Linked DNA regions of Coturnix japonica. The protein of the gene in region 2 interacts with the protein of the main gene of each other region in a pairwise test. Links are inferred from orthologs where the notes say so. Each region holds a gene or a part of one and is shown on either strand. Other genes may lie near its edges.

Region 1 (10,101 bases), on a different chromosome or scaffold from region 2:
GTATTATTTGCCTGGAAGACCTTATTCATGAAATCTACTCAGCTGGGAAGTACTTCAGAAATGTCTCAGACTTCCTATGGCCGTTCCAGCTGTCAGTGGCCCGCTATGCTGCACGTAATAAAGTGGGGTTTCTCAAGGAGATGGGTAAGCCTGGCTGCAGAGGTGAAGGAATCAACCAGCTTATACGGCAGCTGAACTAGACAGGTGAGGAATGTACATTTTAAATCCTTATTATCTGGCTTCCTAAGATTAACTGTATTGCCATCAAAGACGCGAGTTTATATATTATGGTGACCCTCACAGTCTCAGAGAAAACTAGAGATCATGGGTTGCATTAGCTATTGGTGCTAGTGGGCTATTCCAAATCCATTGATTTTTGGATTGCTGGGAAAAATGTGTTCAAATGACTGGTAATTTTTTTCTTTCTTTCTTTTCTGTTCTGCAGTCTCTGCAAAAACACCAGGACTTAGAACCTGCTCTTTTTCACATGTAATTTTCATGGACCTGGGCTCTCTACAATGATATACTACATCTCTTGTCTATTGCTACCTTTAAAAAAGAAGGTAAAGAAAGCCAACAAAATCCAGGTGATGAAGCTGCACTCCGGGCTGGTCCTTGAGAAAGAAACTTTATTTGGTGCAAAAAACGAAATGACTTGAACTTTCTGGAGCAATCTGATTTTTTTTTAAGGCGTTGGATTTTTTATCTTTGTTTTCAGTACCTTTTACTGCTGGCACTGTACCAGTCCACCCTCTCACCTTTGCTATGAAGCACGCGTTGGCATTCTCTGATGTAAATTTGTTACAAGGGAACAGCAACCATTGCTTTGATCCAGTCCTCCCCAAGGGAAGTGCTTAAAATTGCACTTTACTGTTTAAAGCGCACCTACTTCTAGGTGTAAGCAGGTAGTGCAGTCAGCTGCTTAACAACACCACTGACAGGCAGAGGGAAGTACTAGGCTTATTCCTCTGTTAAATACAGTCTAGCTGCAGTATGATTTGTCTTACTGGTTTATATAGTGTCTTTCTAATATTCTAAAATGGGACTGCTGTGGGGATGGATATTTCCTGGTAGGAAAGCCCATTATTTACACTCTGCAGCAATATTACAAAATCAATAGTTTTAAAATAAACTCTTTTTAAATGATAGTATTGTACCACTCGTGTATCAGTCAAACCATAAGTGCTTAAGTACTAAGTAACTCCAGTGTGACTGTTGGGAATGCTGAAAGCAGTGTATGCTAGTGTAAATTTTTTTTATGGAGCTTCTTCAGCTGGCCTGTTGTCTGATACTAATTTAGAAGGCAACGCTGTGCTTAATGATTATGGGGAATTAAGGCTCTTCACACTGGAGAAGGCTCCAGGGGGGGGACCTGATAGCAGCCTTCTAGTACCTAAAGGGGGCCTGCAGGAAAGAGGGGGAATTACTTTTTATAAGGGCATGTAGTGACAAGACAAGAGGAAATGGCTTTAAGATGTAAAAGGGTAATATTAAACTAAATATTGGGAAGAGACTCTTCACTGTGTGGGCGGTGAGACACTGGAACAGGTTGCCCTGTGAGGTTGTAAATGCCTCCTCCCTGGAAGGGAGCTGGGACAGGCTTTAAGCAACCTGATCGAGATGTAGGTGTCCCTGCCTGTAGCAGGGGTTGAAACCAGGTGATCTTACAGGACCATTCCGCAAAATTGATAGAGTCATCACTAATCATCCACAAACAGTATTAGGCACGAGTGGGGACAAACTACAATTAATGAATAGTTTCATGGATTTCACGTTGACAAAAGCACTTGATTTGTGACTGAGGTACTTGCGGCATTAGCCTGAACTGCTGCTATACAGAATTCTAACATCTAAAATACAAATTCCCACATTCTGTGACTAGGAGAACTCTATACAGTTTCAAGGTTTATTCCATAAAACAAGAATACAGACATAGAAAATGCTGTGCAGCTGCTGAAGAAGGACAAGACACACTGATGCAGAACAGCACCCTCTCCAGAACTGCAGTCTCATGTTCTTCAAAATGCTGTGTTTCATCTGTTCGGGCCTTTTCCTGCTCATCAGCTGCTTTTATGGTAAAAACTTTAGAATTAATCTTGGGATTAGATATGGATTATTTCTGGTCATGAAATCCAGACCTTGCATGAAAAACAGGCCTAATACTGTCATGAACACCTCAGAGCTCTTCAAACAGTGCCACCTTAATCTAGTGTTACACCACATTATCAGGCACAATACTGCACATTCAGCAAGAGCAATCATGTGTTCACAACATAGCTGCTCTATGAACAGACACTATACAAGAGGACAGGATATGTACAAGAAACAGTTTTAAGGAAAAGAATCCTTTTTGTAAGCCACCGTGCTGTTGACTTTATGGATCGTGGTAGTGAAGGAACGAAGACGAACCTCTTCTGAATTGGCAATGAATTGTGGTCCTGACTCTTCCCACTTTTCTGGCACTACCAAATCTTTATCTGTGTAAATCAGCAAGTCAAAGGCACCTGTAAGCAGGTGGGAAAAAGTTAATGCTACACACATAGGAATGATACCATAATTGAAGTTAAAACGCATGGAGACATGCAAGAAGGTTATCAGTAGTTATGGCATCTATAGAAAAAGAAATGGCAGTTAAAGGAATGAAAACAAATACTAGTTATCATTCCTGTAGTCGCAATATTTATGACAGCTGTAGGTCCTCAGATACACCAAGTTTCTTCAAGCTACTTAAATCACCTTGAATTGCACCTTTTGGGGAAAAAACGAGTTTAAGAGTTTAACTTCCAATGAAGTTGCTCCAAGTGCTTGATTGAAAGAGAGCACAGTATTTACAGTAGCAGTTCTTTTTCAGTTTGTTGTACAAGAAGCAGTACAGGACAATACTTAGAGTACTTTATCTGATGCTGCTTCTATACTGTACATAGCTGAGACTGTCTTGGTCTAACCAAACATATACCCAGAAATGCAATACATGACACTTCAAATAATAATAATAAAAACAGAATAGTGGAAAAGATTTTCTACAATCAAATGCTAGTTCAGGCTTTCTGAAAGAAGTGTCATTTCTTTCGGAGAAGTTACAAATACTCACAGGCAGTTTCCAGGAGAGGCAGAAAAGTTACCGTGGCAGTGATTTGTCTGATAACAGATCGAATTTCATCCTGAATGGCTTTCTGAGATTTGTCTCGGGGTGCGCTGGAAAAATGAGAAAACTCTTTAAGAAAACAACTTGCACCTCCAATACTGACAGCTTTCTTTAAACACAGTTCTTGCTGCACTGCTGTGGGGTATGTTTGCTGTATGGTTATGCAGAAGCATTCTTTCAAGCCTTAGGCTCACAAAACTGTAACTTTCAATTTGTTGTTTGTGAAACCTCGCAGTGTTTTTAAGGACATATTTGCTGTCTGGGTTGGGTGAGAGTTTTGGCAAAACAGCAGAAGAGCAGTAATACAGGACTTTGTTCAGTTGCAGATTACAAAACATTTTGATAACTGAATGATGGAATCATTTGAGTTGGAAGGGACCTCTAATTGTTATGTATTCCAACTCTCCTGCAATAAACAGTCACCTACAGATCCACAAGATTGCTCAGTCCTGCCAGCCTGACCTTGAGTGGCTCCAAGGATGGGGAATCTACTACTACTCTGGATGAACTGTGCCAGTGCCTCACCACTCTTATTGTAAAAAAAGAAACAAACAAACAAAAACAAGCCAAAAAACTTATTTCCTCCTTATATCCAATCTAAACCTCACTTCTTTTAGCGAAACACTTCACTCTTATCACACCCTGTGCCCTGACAAGTCTGTCAGCTTCTTTCACATAGCCCCCCCTCAAAATACTGAAAGGCTGCTCTCTGGTCTCCCCTAAGCCTTCCCCAGGCTAAACACCTCAGCTCTCTCAGACTATCCTCACAGGAGAGTTGTTCTGTCCCTGGGACCATTTTTGTGGCCCTCCTCTGGACACACTCCAACAGCTCCATGTCTCTCCTGTACTGAGAATTCTCAATCTGGATGCAGTACTCCAGGTGATGGCTCACCAGCGCAGAGCATACAGGCAGGATAACGTCCCTTACCCTGCTGACCATGCACAATTCTTTGGATGTGGCCCTGGATACAGTTGGCTTTCTGGGCTGTTAGGTCATATCCCTACTCAGGGATATGATTTAGTGTAGGGTTTTTAGAGTCAGGGTACTGGTTAGGCTGCGGTTGGACTTGATGATGTTCAAGGTCTTTTCCAACCTGGGTAATTCTATGATTTCAGGCTTCATGTCCAGCTTGCCACCAAGACCTTTTCAGCAGGGTTGTGCGCCATTCTTATGTCCCCCAGATTGTACTGAAAGCAGGGGTTGCCCCAACCCAGGTATAATACCTTGCTCTTAGCTTTGTGGAATCACATGAAGCTCACTTGGGCCCACTGCTCAGCCTGTTCAGGTCCCCCTGGATTGCATCCAGTCCCTGGAGCACATCAATGGCACCCACAGCTTTATTTGGTAACGTCAGATAGCTCTTAGGTTACAGAGGTAGCACTACCATACTTGGTCTTTCCCTTGTGTCTCCCAACAGGGAGAAGCAGGCACAGAAACGCTGTCACTCACCTTTCACCCTTGGCGCTCTTGTCACATTCAATGTCAAACTGCCACCGCTCCAGTACCTCATTGTTCTCAATGCTGGAGATGACCACCACCAGGCGCTGCACGGTGCACTTATAAAGCCACTCTGGAAGAGGCCGCAGCATTTACTACGGCTGTATGAGAAAAAGGGGAAGGAGAAAAGGGGACGGGAAGCGGGGGGGGGCAGGTCTCACCTTTCATCTGCTCCACCACGTTGTTGAGGTAGTTCTTCAGCTCGGGGTCGGTGGTGACGAGCAGGGTAAGGCCGTACTTCTGGACGCGGGTGAAGGTCTCAGGGGGGTAGATGCCCCGCTGGTACAGGATGCTGTTGATGCCATAAGCTGCGCGCACAAAGCGGGGAGGCTTCTGTAAGGGGGCCACCCCTCCCGCCCTACAGGCGGCCATGTCGGCCGCGGCATTAGAGCCAGCCGCCCGCCCGCCTTTTTCCCCCCAACCCGCCCCCGTCTCCCCGCACCCCTGGGCGGCCCGCAGCCCCTTACAGAAAAACTCGGCGACGATCTCCGCGCTGCCCCGCAGGGTGATTCCCTGCTGCTCGCGGCCCAGCTGCGCGGCCATGGCGGTGCCCGCCGCCCGCTTCAAATCACGCCCCGCCCCTTCCGGCCGACTGCGAGGGCTGAGCAGGCGGGATGCCGTGCTGCGCATGCGCGGGGTGCGGCCGTTGGCGGGCGGGGTTTGCGGTGTGTGGGTGCGTCCCGTCAGGTGCCGTTGGGTGCGTGTGTCCTTATGGAGGTGCTGCCTCTTCTCTGGGCTATTTCTGGTTGTGCTCAGTACGAAAGCCGCCCCGCTCAGCGTTTAGCAGTCGGATTGCTGTTAATACCCGCTATTCTCCTTCAGCCCCTGCGCTATTCCCGTCCCAGAGCGCTCTCAGAGCCCTTCCTTTCCCACTCTGGGATTTTCTCGTGCTTTTCTCCCTCCGAGGTTCCCTACGAGCCGCCTCCGCTGCGCCATTGTAGTTAGACCCGGTGGAATAGACAAACCCAGCGCTCATAGAAGCGAAGTGCGGCTCCTCAGCGCTCTGGTGGATTCTTAAGGGTCTCCCGTTGCAGGTAGCTGATCTGCTTCAACACAAATTGGTTTCTCCGTGTTTTGGCAGAGGCGGATGAGGAGCTTTTCCATGTGCTGCTGATGCCTGTAGTTCACATTTAGGGCATGTCCAGCTGCGTGACAAGCAGGAGGCTGTGGGGCTGTCACGGGGAGCAGTGGGGATAGTGCTGTGGGTGAGGGAGCGGTGTGTCTGACAGCCCGCTTCCTGAGCAGCTCGCGGGGACTCGGCAATGCAGATGACAGACTGAGTTATACGTTCTGGCACATCACGAGTTGGCCGTCCTTGCTTTAATTATCTCATGCTAAAGCCTTAATTTTCAGAAGGAATGTGAAATCCCAGTTGCATTTAATTTGGTTCTCTTATGATTCTTTAGTCATTGCTGTGTTTCTCAATTACATTTTGATATGACACACACATATATATATTTATTATTCTCTTTTTGTGGAATTAAACATCCCCTATTTATCTTGGCTTTTCTGCAACATTTAATGATTGCTTCCCCATGGCCATTGTTAATGAACCTGTGACAATCCAGATCACTGCTGCTCCTGCAAATTTTTTAAGGCAACTCTAGTCATGCTCCTGTAGTCATTCAGCAGACAAGAAGAAATAATCCATGTGTAAAGTTCCTTCCCAGGTTTGGGGCTTTTATTTTTGTTCTTGTTTAGTTTTTTAACCCTCGGGTCGTTGTGGACAGGTCTCTCCTGCCAGCAGAATAAAACAGTCTGTAGAATAAAAGTCCTGTTTGTTATAAAAGCCCTCTTATCACATTAACAAATTGTCATATTAAGTCTCAGCAAAATCCAGTTCTTCCTGTGCAGAGGAAGGAAATCTTACTGTGGGTAACAGAGCTCTAGTTCTCCTGTTCTGGTAGATCTCAAGCTCCTTTATTTCCTTCCCCACTTTAGGGGGAGCTTCTCTACTTACTAGCACATAGAACTAGTACTTTAACCTTCATCCCTCTTATTTTCTGCATATTGTTTTGAGTTGCCTTTGGGGGTTTATAATGCTGCCCATCTGAAACTGTCTGTGCCTAATACTGATGGTGAGTGTTGAGCTTGTTTGTTGACTTTTTGCTCCCTTTCTCCCTCAGTCCATATTGTGGTATTTGTAGATCCTGTGTTGGATGCTGTCTTAACTCCTGGTGGGCTGAGGCCCTTCTCAATTAGCTGAACTTCCACGGTTTCTAGTGAAATTGCTACTTTTTTATTATATCTGCTTAGTTCTGTGTGCTATGGGAGGGAACGATGTGTGGGTTGTTCCTGGCTAAAGGCTTTTCCTGAACCAGCCCAGCCATTTACAATCTCCGTTTCGTTATGCAAGTGTTAATCCGATGTGAAAACATCATTTAGCATGAATGAAGCTATGTCTTGATAGTGGCCTTCTTGTCTAGTGAAACAGCTTTTGTGAATTTGGGGAGTTTAAAAAGCTACTATTGCGAAACAGCATTCAGTGTTCTGATGGTTTTATCTCTAAGCTACCAGGAGATGGCACCAGGCACATGAATTATTTGCATCCTTTCAGTTTAGTCTTGAACTGCAGCGAGTTTGTTTTACCGAGTACTTGAGTTTAGACGAATTTTAGATGCATTTCTTTGCCAGTTCTTAAAACGTGTTCCAGAATGAAGGAGATACTTGGTCTGAAATCAGAAAATAAAGTTCGTGATAGAAATCAACTGTATGAAGATTTGTTTATTTTTTTTTAACTCTGTATGCTTATTTTCCTGCCTGCACCCTGCAAGTTGTAGGTAAATTTTCTTCCTCTGAACTAAATATTTTTGATTATAGAGGCTGCTTTTCTAAGAGATGTAAAAAGTGTGTGCACTGAAGTCTTTTTGTCTATGCATGGGTGTTTCCCATTGTAATATCATTTTAATATCGTTATGTCTGGTACATGTGGCACATTTCATACATAAAGTGAGAGCTTCTTCCACGGTATATCAGTCTTGTTCTGAACACCGAGAGCTAGCGCATATGTACACATATTGGCACTGACAAGCCTTTGAGAAGCCAGGGGGCACATTAATACATTGTGGGTATAGTTCTAATTGTATATAAGTATTCTTTATAAATGCAAACACTGGTATTTTTATAAGACTTTTTTCATTGACTGTGGGGAAAAATCAAGCGTATTTGTGGCACAATGAAAGTTTTTTCTCATGGTAAGGCATTTTGTGAAGGTGCACCTTCATTGATTGTATGAGCATGTCTATAGAATCATGCATATTTATTCAGCAGTTAACATGGGGCATTAATGCGTGTCATTTCTTTCTAGTTTAGTTTCTATAATTTATGGAATATGAACTGTATACATAAGCTGTCACTTTTGTTTACATAATAATTCTTTCAACGTTTCTCTGCTTTGGAGGAAGCAGATATCTACTACCGCATAGGTGTTGGTACTTGTATTTGAAATGATAACATAGATTGACAGTACCAAAACATCTTTGAATGGAGCTCCTTATCTAACACTGGATGAAAAATAACTGTTTTGATTTACCTTTTGCTGTTGTTACGCTAAAGCCAACTTAATTGATGAACAATTAATCTGAAGGGTTTTGGTTTAAGACAGGAATCCCGTTACAGAATCAGTAAAATCAGGACTTAAATGGGCCTTTCATGCTTTGAAAACTTTGTAGTGCTCAGTGATGTCACGGTAATAGGTGATATGAAAACCATTGAATCCAGCTCTAAGTCCCCAGTGAAACACCTGAAGGTTGATGATTAGAAAGATGAATGTTAATCCAGTTTGTGTCAAGCCCCTGTCATATCTGAAGTTCTCGTATTAATAAATTAATGGAAAATGATACAGTTCTTAGGTAGTTTAGACTTATTAAGAGATATACCACAGTTTAAATTAAAAACAGGTCTTTTCTAAGTAACAGGCTGAACAGACACATCAGCAGAGAGTTAGACTGTCGTGACATTAAGCACTGAGGTACAAAAGAATATTGTAGGTGGGTTAGCAGGGTTGAATGTACCATGATAGTGTCAGAAAGGCTTTTCATAGAGTATTGTTGCACAATTACAATGACTTTGATGATTTGGATGTTGTGTTGAGGGACATGGTTTAGTGAGAGCTGTTGGTAATAGGTGAATGGTTGGACTGGATGCTCTATTAGGTCTTTTCCAACCTTGGTGATTCTATGATTCTATAGTTGTTATTTGTGCTTGCTTTTTGTTGTGTCTTTTCTGATACATAACAAAGATGGACTTGTTTGAGTAATTGTGTCTTGAGAACTGCCTCAGAATTATGATGTCTAGAGAGACAAATAAATTGTGAAACATAGTGTTTGCATTAGAAATATGTGAAGCAAAAAAAATCCCACCATGAATCATTCCTTCATTTCCTCTTGAAAAGTAAACTTTCTGCATTTTTTCTTCATTTGCATCCCCATGCATGTTAGGAATCCCATCGTCAGAATGGTGATTCTTTATCAGAACAGGCATGCGAATTTTTCTTATAATTACTGAACAGCTTAAGAAAATATGAGAGAGTGACTTTCTAAGTAAGGCATCTGTTCCTCTATATAAGGAAGAATACTTTAGTAAATGTAATAGGACTTGTTGGAACTATACTTTGAACTTCAAAGTATACTATACCTCACCAGCCATCTTCATCTCAGTTTGATGCCTTGGAACGTCTAGTCCTATAGTGTGGAGACATTGCCTGATGTATGAACTTCCTGTTATATTTGCATTACAGTTCATCTGCTCTGCTGAGTAATAGCTGAGGAACCATGAACAGTTTGTCAATTGGATGAGTTGCTGAAAACACGTTTATCTAGGCAATACTTGTGTACTTACATTAATAGCTTAAGAATAAGTAAAGATGTCTTTGCACAAGAACAGCAGTGAACTAGATATGGGCAACATCAGGTACAAAATCCAGCTTATGGAACTCTACTTCAACCACTTCATGTAGGTCACATGGAAAGTGAAATATTGTATTTCTTAATTACTTTTAAGAACATACAAAGTAGCAAATAAGTACTTATTTTCTTTTCTTTTCTTAGAATGTACTTGTTGATCCATTTTCAGTCAGGTTTCCATGTGAGAAGCATGGAAAGGGTCTTTGGGCTTCCCTTTGCTCTTTAAAATAACAAAAAATCACTTAACAATAGATCATGAGGTCACTTGCAAAGTAGCCAAGAAAGGATTTGCTAGAACAATTTCAAAGCAATGTTTTTATTTTCTAAACCATTAGTGAGACCAAAAGGGCTGTTCACTTGTTTGTTGCATAAGGCAAAGTTTTTTGGAAAACAAACAAGCAAATTTGGAGTAATATTTGAAAGTTCAAGCTAGTTATCTGCGTCTCCTACATAATGGATGGCCTCATCCAAACCTCATGATCTGATGCTGTGTAAAAATGGAAAACAGATGGCTTAGTAATGTGAGTAGCAGTTTGATGCTAATTGTTCCCTAC
Region 2 (9,852 bases):
GGTATTATATAAGTCACAGAATGCAGTCAGTGGGGGCACAGACAGACCTTATTTCTCCAGGTAATGCTGGTGGTGAGCTCAGTGACTTCAGGCCTCGGCCCCATGTTCTGTTGTGGGGTTCTGATGTGCTTCACTTCATGGGCTGGTGTTACACACAGAGATGGCATTCTGCAAGCATTGCCAAGTGAGAATTGCTTAACATTCCCAAAGCTTGGGAAATCTACATGGGGAGATGTTTATCAGACACAGGGCTGGGCCCTGCTCTGCAGAACACAACTCCAAGCAGCGAGTAGAAATAATAACTACTGCTAATAGTGCTGCTGTCAGAGACTTGGGCCATGTCAGGGTGGTGAACGCAGCCTTCCTGAGCCTTGCATCCTCAGGTGATAGCTCTCAGGAGGGGATGGATGGAGGTCCCATCCCTCTGCTCACCACATGCTGCTCCACCTCCCTTCTCACTGACTCCATCGTAAACCTGAAATTGAAACCTCAGAATCCAAGTCTCAAGCATGAAAGAAACATCAGCCATAATAATACAGCACGAAGGAGCAGAAAACAGCAATCAAAGCTCTCAGTCTGCAGCAGTGCTGCTGCCATTCCCAAGGCCTGCAGCTTTGTGCTGGCTGCTCCTCACTGCGGGTCGCTGTACTGAGCTGTGCTGCACGTTCCCATTGACCAACAGTGACATGACAAACCATGGGAGCTGAATCAACACCACCTGTCACATGAGACCACTGTGACATTTCTGGCACGATTGCTACCTCTTAATAGATGGAAGTGGGAAGCTGCAGCAGCTTGTGAATAATGGATTAGATATGCTTGATTTGTAACATTTACAAAGAAAGGGTGTGTCTCCTAGCGACAGAACAAACTGCTTATCAAAGTGGGAACTAGGAGTTCTATGCTGTCCAAAACACAAAACACGAGATAAAGCAACGTGGAGCACAGGGTTATGGTCTGCTGAGCTCTGCTATGCTGCCCGGAGGGGCCATCCCTCCAATTCTGACCCTCGATTAGCAACAAAAGTGCATTAGTTAATTAAAAAAACAAAGAAAAACCCCATGCAAACTGTAGCTGGGAACTGGCACAGCCAGTCGGTTGCCTGGGGCACAGTGTGTGCATACGGTGTGTGAGAGTGACGTGGCTGCAGCCACTGATGTGCACGTGGCTGCTGATAGAGAACTGCACACCAGGCATGGGGGGGGAGCTGGGGCTCTATGGAGCTGCAGGATGCTGGGCTGTGGGGCAGGATATGGGGCAGCAATGGTTGATGTGGGGCAGGATATGGGGCTGGGCTGTGGGCTGGGCTGTGTTTCTCTGCTCACTGCGTGTGCTGAGTTCAAACAGGTTGTAAGGAATGGAAAGCATCGCGTGACACCCAACCATCAACCAGGACAAAAGCTGGAGCTGCAATGGGCAGCGCTGCCATTTCCTGAGCTCCTCATCCCTGGCGGCTTTGAAGCCACGTGGCAGAGATGCCCTCTGCCATTTTCACCTCAAGCAAAGGTTGTGTTTGCTCACGTAGCGATGGAATTATCTGGAAGGATCTGACAGCGTTTCCTGTTTCAGCAGCAGAAAGATGAGGCTTCTGCCCTCAGCACGGAAGGCGGATGGGCCTCGTCCTTAGAGCTCCCTCCCTTTGGGAAGACAGCGCTCACTTATCGGATTTGGTGCGGACGGAAGGAAGGGTAAGAAAGGAGCTGGGTCACTCTGTGACGTGAAATATTTTATATTGGGAGATCTGGCAATAGTTCTGCACGGCTCCAAACAGGATGAGATGCGATTCTCAGGGCCAGCTGTGCTGTGCTCAGTGCTAGGCCTTGCAGAGCAGGCTATTCCAGAACCTTCTGTCCTCATCCTGCCAGCCATGCTCACATTGAGCTGTTGTTGGAAAGCAAGAAACTCTTCCACATCCCCAAAGAATGGGAGGATGGATGGTGTGTGCTGCACACACATTTGACTCAACAGAAATAAGGCAACCTATGCTTTGTTCCAAGCAGAACCATCTCCTCCATGGGGTAACTCCACCTCAGCACCCAGAACCTGCTCCTAAGAAACACATACATGGAGAGGAGAGAGAATGCTTAAGGAAGGAGTTGTACTTGATACCTCAGACTAATGGTTTTAGCAGTGTTTATTCAGTTGGAAATGAGAGAAGAGCACGAGGTGCTGCTGTTGGGAACAGAACCAGGAACATGCGGGTGCTGCTGGGTTATGTGATGGCAAAAGCACGATGGATACGGAGCACAGGCTGCACACCAATGGTCCTCATCAGCAACCAGAAACTAAAAATAGTGTTTGAGTGAAAGAGAATGGAGCTGCAGCCTTTAATCCTCCCCATTCCCATCGGTAAGATGATATTATTATCACATGGAAAGCGAGGAGAACGTGAGTAAGCAGAAGCAGGTTGCTATTACAGTCACATTGTGGATTCCACGCAGCTCTGGGGATGACGTGTGGCTCTTTCTGCTTTATGCAGAGGCTGATATGAGGCAGGCTGAGCTGCAAGCATGGAGTGCAGTTTTGCTGCCCATTCCCACTCCTGCCCTCACATCTTGCAGTGTTCTGGACCGAGCAGAGTTCTGAGTCTGTGGGGCTCATAAATAGAACTGGAGTAAATGACAACAAGAACAGACCTGGGGGTCTGTTCTGACACACAAAGGAAGGCAGCGCTGCTCATAGGGCCCTTCATCTCAACATCCCAATGCTCTGCAAAGGGTTTGGAGCAGCCACAGCTGCTGATCTTTGCGTGCAGGTGGCTTTGAACCAGGCCCTGTCCTTACCCCGTCCAACAGGGAAACATCACAGAGGGGTCGGGTTGAGCTCCCCCAGAACGGCTGTGGTTTCATTGCTGCTCCTCCTGTTATTCACAGCGATGGGAGAGCCCCGTGGCTCCCTTCTATAGGGATTAATGGCACAAATACTTCACACAGCTCAAACTGTCTTAAAGCAGCTCAGCACCTGGAAGCCGCAGCCCGGTGCTGCTCCACGGGGGGAGGAGCAGAGCGGTGAGAGCCGAGCAAAGCTGATGGAGGGACGAAGGTTTGGAAGAAGCTCTTTAACTGAGCGGGGCAGAATTAGCAAAGCTTTATTCCCGCAGTTGACGCAACTCCACGTCTTGTAGAAATGGGTGGTAGCAAAAGCCTGATAAAATTACTGGAAGTTGCCAGGAAACGTGCGGTAATGGGGTAATGGCTCCGTACAACCGAGCGGCGAAGGCGATTAAAAGAGGAGGAAAAGGACTCAGACGCTGCGTCCCTGCGCAGGAGCCGCCCGGGCCGGTTGTGCTGGGCATTGCTGTGCCGGATCCCGGCGGCCAACACGGCGGCACCGAACGGTTCCGCTCCGGTTCCGCTCCGGTTCCTCTCGGGCCGTTCCCCTCCGCGCTGAGCGCAGCGCCCCGGCCCGGCAGGTGGAAGCGGCCGCTCCGCTCCGCCCCCCGTCCCGTCCCGGCTCCGCGCCGCCTCTTGCCGCCGCCCGCTCGCAGCTGACGGGGGCAGCCCCTTGTTTACTGGGCAGGAGGCGGCCGCCCGCCCGGCCTGCGCTGGAGTGGCCGAGAGCCGCGTCCTGAGCCGCCGGGCCGGGCTCCGCGCTGGGGTCGGCGGCCGGTTCCTCGGGGCTCTGCTGGACGATGCGAACCCGAAGCCGGGCCCGGCCCCCGCGCCCGCCCCGCGGCCTCTGATTCGCCCCCGCCGGGACGCGCCGAGCGGCTCCGGGACGCGGCCATGGCACCGAGAGCGGCGGCGGCGGCGGTGCTGGCCGTGACCGCGGTGTTGGCGGCCTGCGGCGGCCGCGCCGAAAGTGAGTGCGGGCGGGGAGCGGGGGGACCGAGGGACCGAGGGGGAGCGGGGCCCGGGCTGCGGCCCCGCACGGCGGCGGGGAGAGGCGGCCCCGGAGCGGTACCTTTGTACCTCTGCCCGGCGGGGCAGGGCCGGGCCTCGGGGCGGGCGGCGCGGCCTCAGGAGCGGGACAGCGGGGCCCGGAGCGCTCCCGTGGGGGGCGGAGGAGGGGGGAGGTTCGGGTGACCTTCATCGCTCGGTTCGGCGCTTCGGCCCCGGGCGGGTGGGAGGCGCGACGGGCCGCGGCTCCGCGGGTGCTCCGCGTTCCTCCGGGGCCGCGTTGGGCCGCCGAGCCGGGCGGAATCGCGGGGCCTCCGCGGCGCTGCGACCATCGGCCCGTCCGGCCGCGGCCATCGGGTGGGTGTTCGGCAGCCACGAGCCGGGTGCGGGGCTCGGGCCGACGCGGGGCCCACATGGGGCGACCCCGCAGCAGGAGCCGCCGCGCTGCGGGACGGGTCGCGTGGGTGCGCGGTGTGTTGTGTGTGTGCGTGCGGGCGGTGAGTCCTGGTAAAGGTGAATGTGTTTCTTTGGAGGAAAGCACGCGGGTCCCACGGCCTGTCGGCTTTGCCACCAGCAAAGGCAGCATAGAGAGAGAATAGCTCCAAATCCACCCAGCGCAGCGATGGGCATCGCTGAAACGTCGATACACAGTGAGAATAAAGCACAGAATGCAGCACTCAATGGCTGCTCGGCTTCTCCCCGCTGTGTGCTGCAGAGCCCCGTGCTGTCCTCATACAAAGGTTTGGCATGGAGGCCTTAAAGGCGACCCCGAGCAGCTCCAGAGGAGCACAGCTGGCTGCACACACAGCGCTGGGCTGGTTGGTGAATAGCACTGCTATTAAAACACACGCTGCTCCAGCACAGCAGTTACTGATTTGAAAGCACTGTTATTGCTGCCACACCGAAACGCTGTGTTTATGTGCTTATTTAAAAGCTAATTCTGCTTTTTATTGCAAGTGTAAAAAGTGAACAGCTCGGATGGTGCTCGCTGTGTTACTCCACAGTAGGAAAGGAAATGTGCTGTACAATTATGGATGGAGAACAGGAGCGACACAGGAGGTGCAGCAGCAAAACCTGGGCTGGAATGTGTGTCATTCACAGCACAGACACTGCAGCAGAGATCTCACAGCCTCTGCTGCGCTCAGGTCCCACCTCGAAGGCTCTGCAATATGTGCAATGTGTGCTGCGTTCTGTGCTTCCACTCGCAGTGTGGGTTGGGGGGATGCAGTACAAGGGCTGTGTCAGCACACACGTGTTGTTCCCTGAGCAATGGAGCTCGTGGATGCTGCATTCTGGGCTGTGTCTGCTCCCCACTGATGGTATTCTCTGCTCCTTGAGCCTGTGGTTCCCCAATGATCATCTGCGATGGTCTGTGGGCTGTCTGTGTCATCCTGGCCCCATGGTGCAGACCCATGAGCAGCAGCTGTGTCTTGCTGAGGTCCCAAGGTTTGGTTGGTGCACTTCCATCACACTGCAGTGTTCTTCTTGGGGGGGTGTAATGAAACTTGTCTATCGTGATTCATTTATTTGATTATTATTTTTTTTAAAGTGATTTTGTTCTGAGTAACCAGAGATGGAGGAGCAGCTCCTCTCTGGCAGCAAAGCCAGTCATTACTTCGCCTAAATCTGCTTCTCGTTGTCCTGGTAACAGTAAATGCACGGCTGACTTAGCAGCTGTGGTGTGCTCTGAGCTGCTGCAGAGTGGGATTCAGACACACGATGGGGTTGAGGGCCCTGAGACAGAGAAGCAGATTTGGCTTCATGTGGTTACGGCTCCTTCTCGTGGGTCCTGGAGGTGCGAAGGAGGAGTGTGGGAGCTGTGGGTGATGCTCAGCACATCAAAACTAACCTGGAGAAGATAATGAAAGATAAACCTTAAACGTGATTCTCTCTAAAGGTGGAAAAATCTGGCCTGAGCGTTTGAATCTTCACAGGTTTACCATCCCAGCACCTTCTGTTTGATTGGTTCAGATACAGACCCATGATGTGCTCTGAGTGCTCAATGTGGGTGGGGGTCTCAGTGCATCCAGGGGCACTGAGCAGCACTCCTTGGCACTGCCATCACATGGCAGGGAGCCCCTGTGGGCTGCTCCCCGACTGCTGGGTCTGGTCTGAAGGGAGCAGCAGACCCTGTGCCTGCCCTGCTCCCCGTCCGCGTGTGGCTGGAAAGCAGTTTGTTCTCCTCCCGATCTCCTTTAGGTCTCTGAAGCTCTTCCACTTGGCACCGCTGAGCTGTGATTACGTTCCTCTTCCTCGAGTGAATGTCAGGAGCTCGTTAGAGGCTGCAGTGAAGTCAATCACTTCTCAGCACAGGCAGATTGTTGGGTTCAGAATGAAATGATTCAGAGACAAATGTGCCGATTTTAATTGTTACTAAAAAAAAACCCACCCCAGCCTTGTTGCACCGATGACATTTATTCTAGGCCTTTCCTTCCTCCCCTTCCAGCCCTAATTCTGCCATTCCACGATGCTCTGTGCCCCCACTTCTTCTTGCAGAAGGCATCTCTGATGCTGTGTGCTCACAGCAGTCCCAATGGGCACTAATGCTGCTCTGAGTCCCACAGCAGCACTGCCAGTTTGAGGCTGGTTTTTTTTCTCTCATTGCAGTTGAGCAAAGTTTTAAACAATCATTAAGACGTTTGCATATAAAGTATATTTTTAACTCACACAGCAGTGACCTTTAGTGCACCCACCAGGAGCTGGAGAGTCAGAGCTATCCAACGTCTGCACGTGCCTTAATTTTATAAGGCTTGATTATTGCCAAGTGATTTCTCGAAGCTTCATTTTACAGTCACTGCTCTGTATATACAGTGAGCAAAAAAGGTAAATATCCTGCGCTGTTAATTCTCAAGGGGAGGATGTGTTCCTTCTCTTCCCAGTGCTGCCATGTTCTCCCCATTGCTCCTTTCCTATCTTCCCCTCCCCACCACCATTCTCAGTGACCCCCCCAGCACCAATTGCACAACGCAGTGAGGTAGTTGTGTCGCTGGCAACTATCTAAAGAAAACAGACTGTGTTGCATGGACACCTCCACTTCGGTAAACGCTGAGTGACGTCCGAGGCCCGGTGCTGCCTTTCCAGTCGTGGTAGAGGTAATATCCACAAACTCAAGATGGCAGAACGTTATGAAATCCCCATTGAGTCGTGTTTTGTAATCATATACCGGGGAGTGTTCCCAGCTCTATTTCTTAACGCTCGCAGCGTGTTTTGTCGCACAGGACCCGTCCGTGTAGTCTGAATGCAGCTGCATTTTAGGATACAGTTGGAAGAATGGGTGTGTTTAGCCAGCTAACGGTCACCTTTATAAGAACAAATAAACAGCATTGTTCTTTGCCTCCCAGTTTGCAGAAGCATGGACATCCGCAACAACCTGACCCGGCTGAGCTTGCTGGAGAACTGCACGGTGATTGAGGGCCACTTACAAATACTGCTGATGTTTAAAACCAAGCCTGAAGATTTCCGCGAGCTCAGCTTCCCCAAACTGACTATGATTACAGACTACTTGCTTCTGTTCCGTGTGTATGGCCTGGAGAGCTTAAAGGGCCTCTTCCCCAACCTCACGGTGATCCGAGGAACACATCTGTTCTTTAACTACGCGCTGGTCATCTTTGAGATGGTTCATCTAAAGGAGATCGGCCTCTACAACCTGATGAACATCACGCGCGGTGCCGTGCGCATCGAGAAGAACAACGAGCTGTGCTACCTGTCCACTATCGACTGGTCGAGGATTTTGGACTCCGTCGAGGACAACTACATCATCGCCAACAAGGATGACAAGGAGGAGTGTGGAGATGTGTGTCCTGGGACGGTGAAAGGGAAGAGCAACTGCCCACCCACCGTCATCAACGGCATCTTCATCGAGCGCTGCTGGACCCACGACCGCTGCCAGAGAGGTGGGTGAGCTGCAGGGCAGCTGAGATGCTCCCATCAGCTGTTACCCATCCATGTGAATAACGTGCCCAAAAGTGCCGTGTTTGGGTTCCCTGGAAAGTCAGGGGCTTCCCAGAGCTCCCAGTTGTGCTCTATGGGTGTAGCTGTTGTCTGTGTCCTAGTATTAGGAATTCTTTTGGGGCTGTGGGATTAAAAGCCTGGCTCGATTGAAAGGCGGATACAGAGCAGCAGGGAAAGGTCTTATGGAATAAAGCTGACTCCGGAAGGATGCAATAATGCTTTTACTGAAACCTTCCTGCCATAAAAAGGTGTGAGATGGGTGGGTGGGTGAGCACTGTTTGCACACAGCAGGAAGCTGGGAGAAGGGGAGGGGAGGAAAGGCCGGGTTTGGTGCTGCAGAGCTGTGTGCACAGCTGCCATCCCAGCCCCCAGACTCCAGTTCTTGACGTCCTTAAGGTGGCTTTGAACTTCATACAGGTTTGTTTCTTCCAAACTTGAAGCTGACCTTAATTTTGGTTGTAATTATACGTTTGGTTTGATTTATGTGAAATCCACCCGACGAGAAGCAAAGCGAATTGAGGTGAAAGTGACACATTCAGAGCTGTCTGTCTCCTCGGTGGTAGTGCATCCAAATGAAGCAGTGTGTCCTAAGATGAAATTAGGAAACTTGTGGGCTGAGGAAAATTTCTTGCCAAGCTTTAAAGGGCAAATCCGAGTGCTGAGTGCCAGATTTCAGAAGGAATTCCTTGCAGTATGCAGCAACTAATGAAATTAATGTGGTTTCCCCTCTGCTGCTCCTCACCCCAAATTGTCTCGCTTCCTTTTAAAGAAAGTGGTTATTTTTTATTGCTGGAATAAGAGGCTTTGAGCAAGATCATGTGAAAGTCTGCGTGTGTTTCTTCTCTGAGAGGAAACGTAAGGTTATGAAGCATTTTAGTTTGGAAGCTCTTTTGGTATACAGCCATTATCAGCAGTGCACCTGGTTTGCTGTGCGTTCATGGTCTGTTTTCTTCTGTTGCCCAGAGTTAGAGGTTGAACTGAAGCAGTTTTCTGTGTCTGGAGCATTCATCATCCCTCATTCCTGCGAGTTTTGGGGCTGTGCTGCAGCAGACTGGGACGTGTGGCTCTTCTCCTTTACGTGACTGTTTATTTCCATGAAACCTGGAGGAATTTAACATTGCACCTCTGGGGCAGAACCCTGCGTTCTGAGCCCCTCACATCAGCTCAGCGTGGGGTCCTGGGGGGGGATAGCAGACATTGCCCCACGCTCCATTACCAAAGGGAGCCAACCTGAAGTATCCATATGGTTGGAATTGGAATTTGGGGAATTATTCCAGGTGTTGCTCTGTGCCAAATCTCCTTTTGGTTTTCCGTGCTCCTTGTCCTTGGGGCAGTGATGCTGCGATGCCTTTATTCTGTCGTGGAGGTACATTTCAAAGGCACCTGAGTGAGTCTGACGTGGCCTTGTTGTGAACGCTGCTTCGTGCTCTCATTGGCAGCTGGTGCTCACCAGGAGGTGGTGTCTGTTCTGCTCTGTGAGGCCTTTGGCCCCACTAGTTGGTGGGACTGTTTCTGAGCGTTCTTTCAGACTTTGTTTTGACTTCTTTCTTAATTGCCTTTAGGCTTCCACCACTGACTGTGCTGTAGTAGCCATGGCAGAGGCTGCGGTATTTGTTTAGAGAATCTCTTGGTGGAATTGCTGCATTCCCTGTTCTTTGCCAGCCATAACGTATCCTTCATGCATGTAATTGCTTTGTCATAATTATTACGAGCTCGTGGCTTCCCTTTGCCTAAAGAGCTTTGCAGTGGCACTTAGGACCGAGGGCATCAGTGTGGGCAAATCTCTCTGCACTCAGGTGGCTTATCTGGGCCTCTCAGCACTGAATGCTGCAGCGCCCAGCATCCCCTGGCCCTGCCCTCCCTGCCCACTGTGCCCATGTCCCTTTGCTGCTCCTTCTTTCAGCCAATTCCCATCTCCCATTTAACTCCAGCACCGACTGAGTCACAACGTGCTGTTATCTCAGAGCTGCTCCTCCAGTCCTCGGGATCACACTGTGCAGCCCAGCAGTGTTTCAGTTGTTGATAACACATCGGAGGAGACAGCAAAGGGGAAGATCTCCTT

Evidence for each region. The genes of interacting proteins can lie anywhere in the genome.
Region 1: the proteins of INSR (region 2) and MAD2L1 interact in binary tests that used the Homo sapiens proteins (3 or more experiments, as listed by UniProt). The link is inferred for Coturnix japonica from reciprocal best matches to the Homo sapiens genes INSR and MAD2L1.

Annotation. Positions count from the first base shown.
Region 1 is NC_029519.1:48,822,544-48,832,644, reverse strand, and holds MAD2L1 (mitotic spindle assembly checkpoint protein MAD2A), read right to left. Parts: upstream 5,249-10,101; 5' UTR 5,187-5,248; coding exon 5,111-5,186; intron 4,952-5,110; coding exon 4,805-4,951; intron 4,717-4,804; coding exon 4,596-4,716; intron 3,196-4,595; coding exon 3,092-3,195; intron 2,505-3,091; coding exon 2,332-2,504; 3' UTR 1,884-2,331; downstream 1-1,883. Other genes in the region: RPL7L1 (60S ribosomal protein L7-like 1), read left to right, coding at 1-200. UniProt on the Homo sapiens protein: Component of the spindle-assembly checkpoint that prevents the onset of anaphase until all chromosomes are properly aligned at the metaphase plate.
Region 2 is NC_029543.1:3,194,685-3,204,536, reverse strand, and holds the start of INSR (insulin receptor), read left to right. Parts: upstream 1-3,489; 5' UTR 3,490-3,725; coding exon 3,726-3,801; intron 3,802-5,899; exon of another isoform or gene 5,900-6,931; intron 6,932-7,180; coding exon 7,181-7,732; intron 7,733-9,852. UniProt on the Homo sapiens protein: Receptor tyrosine kinase which mediates the pleiotropic actions of insulin.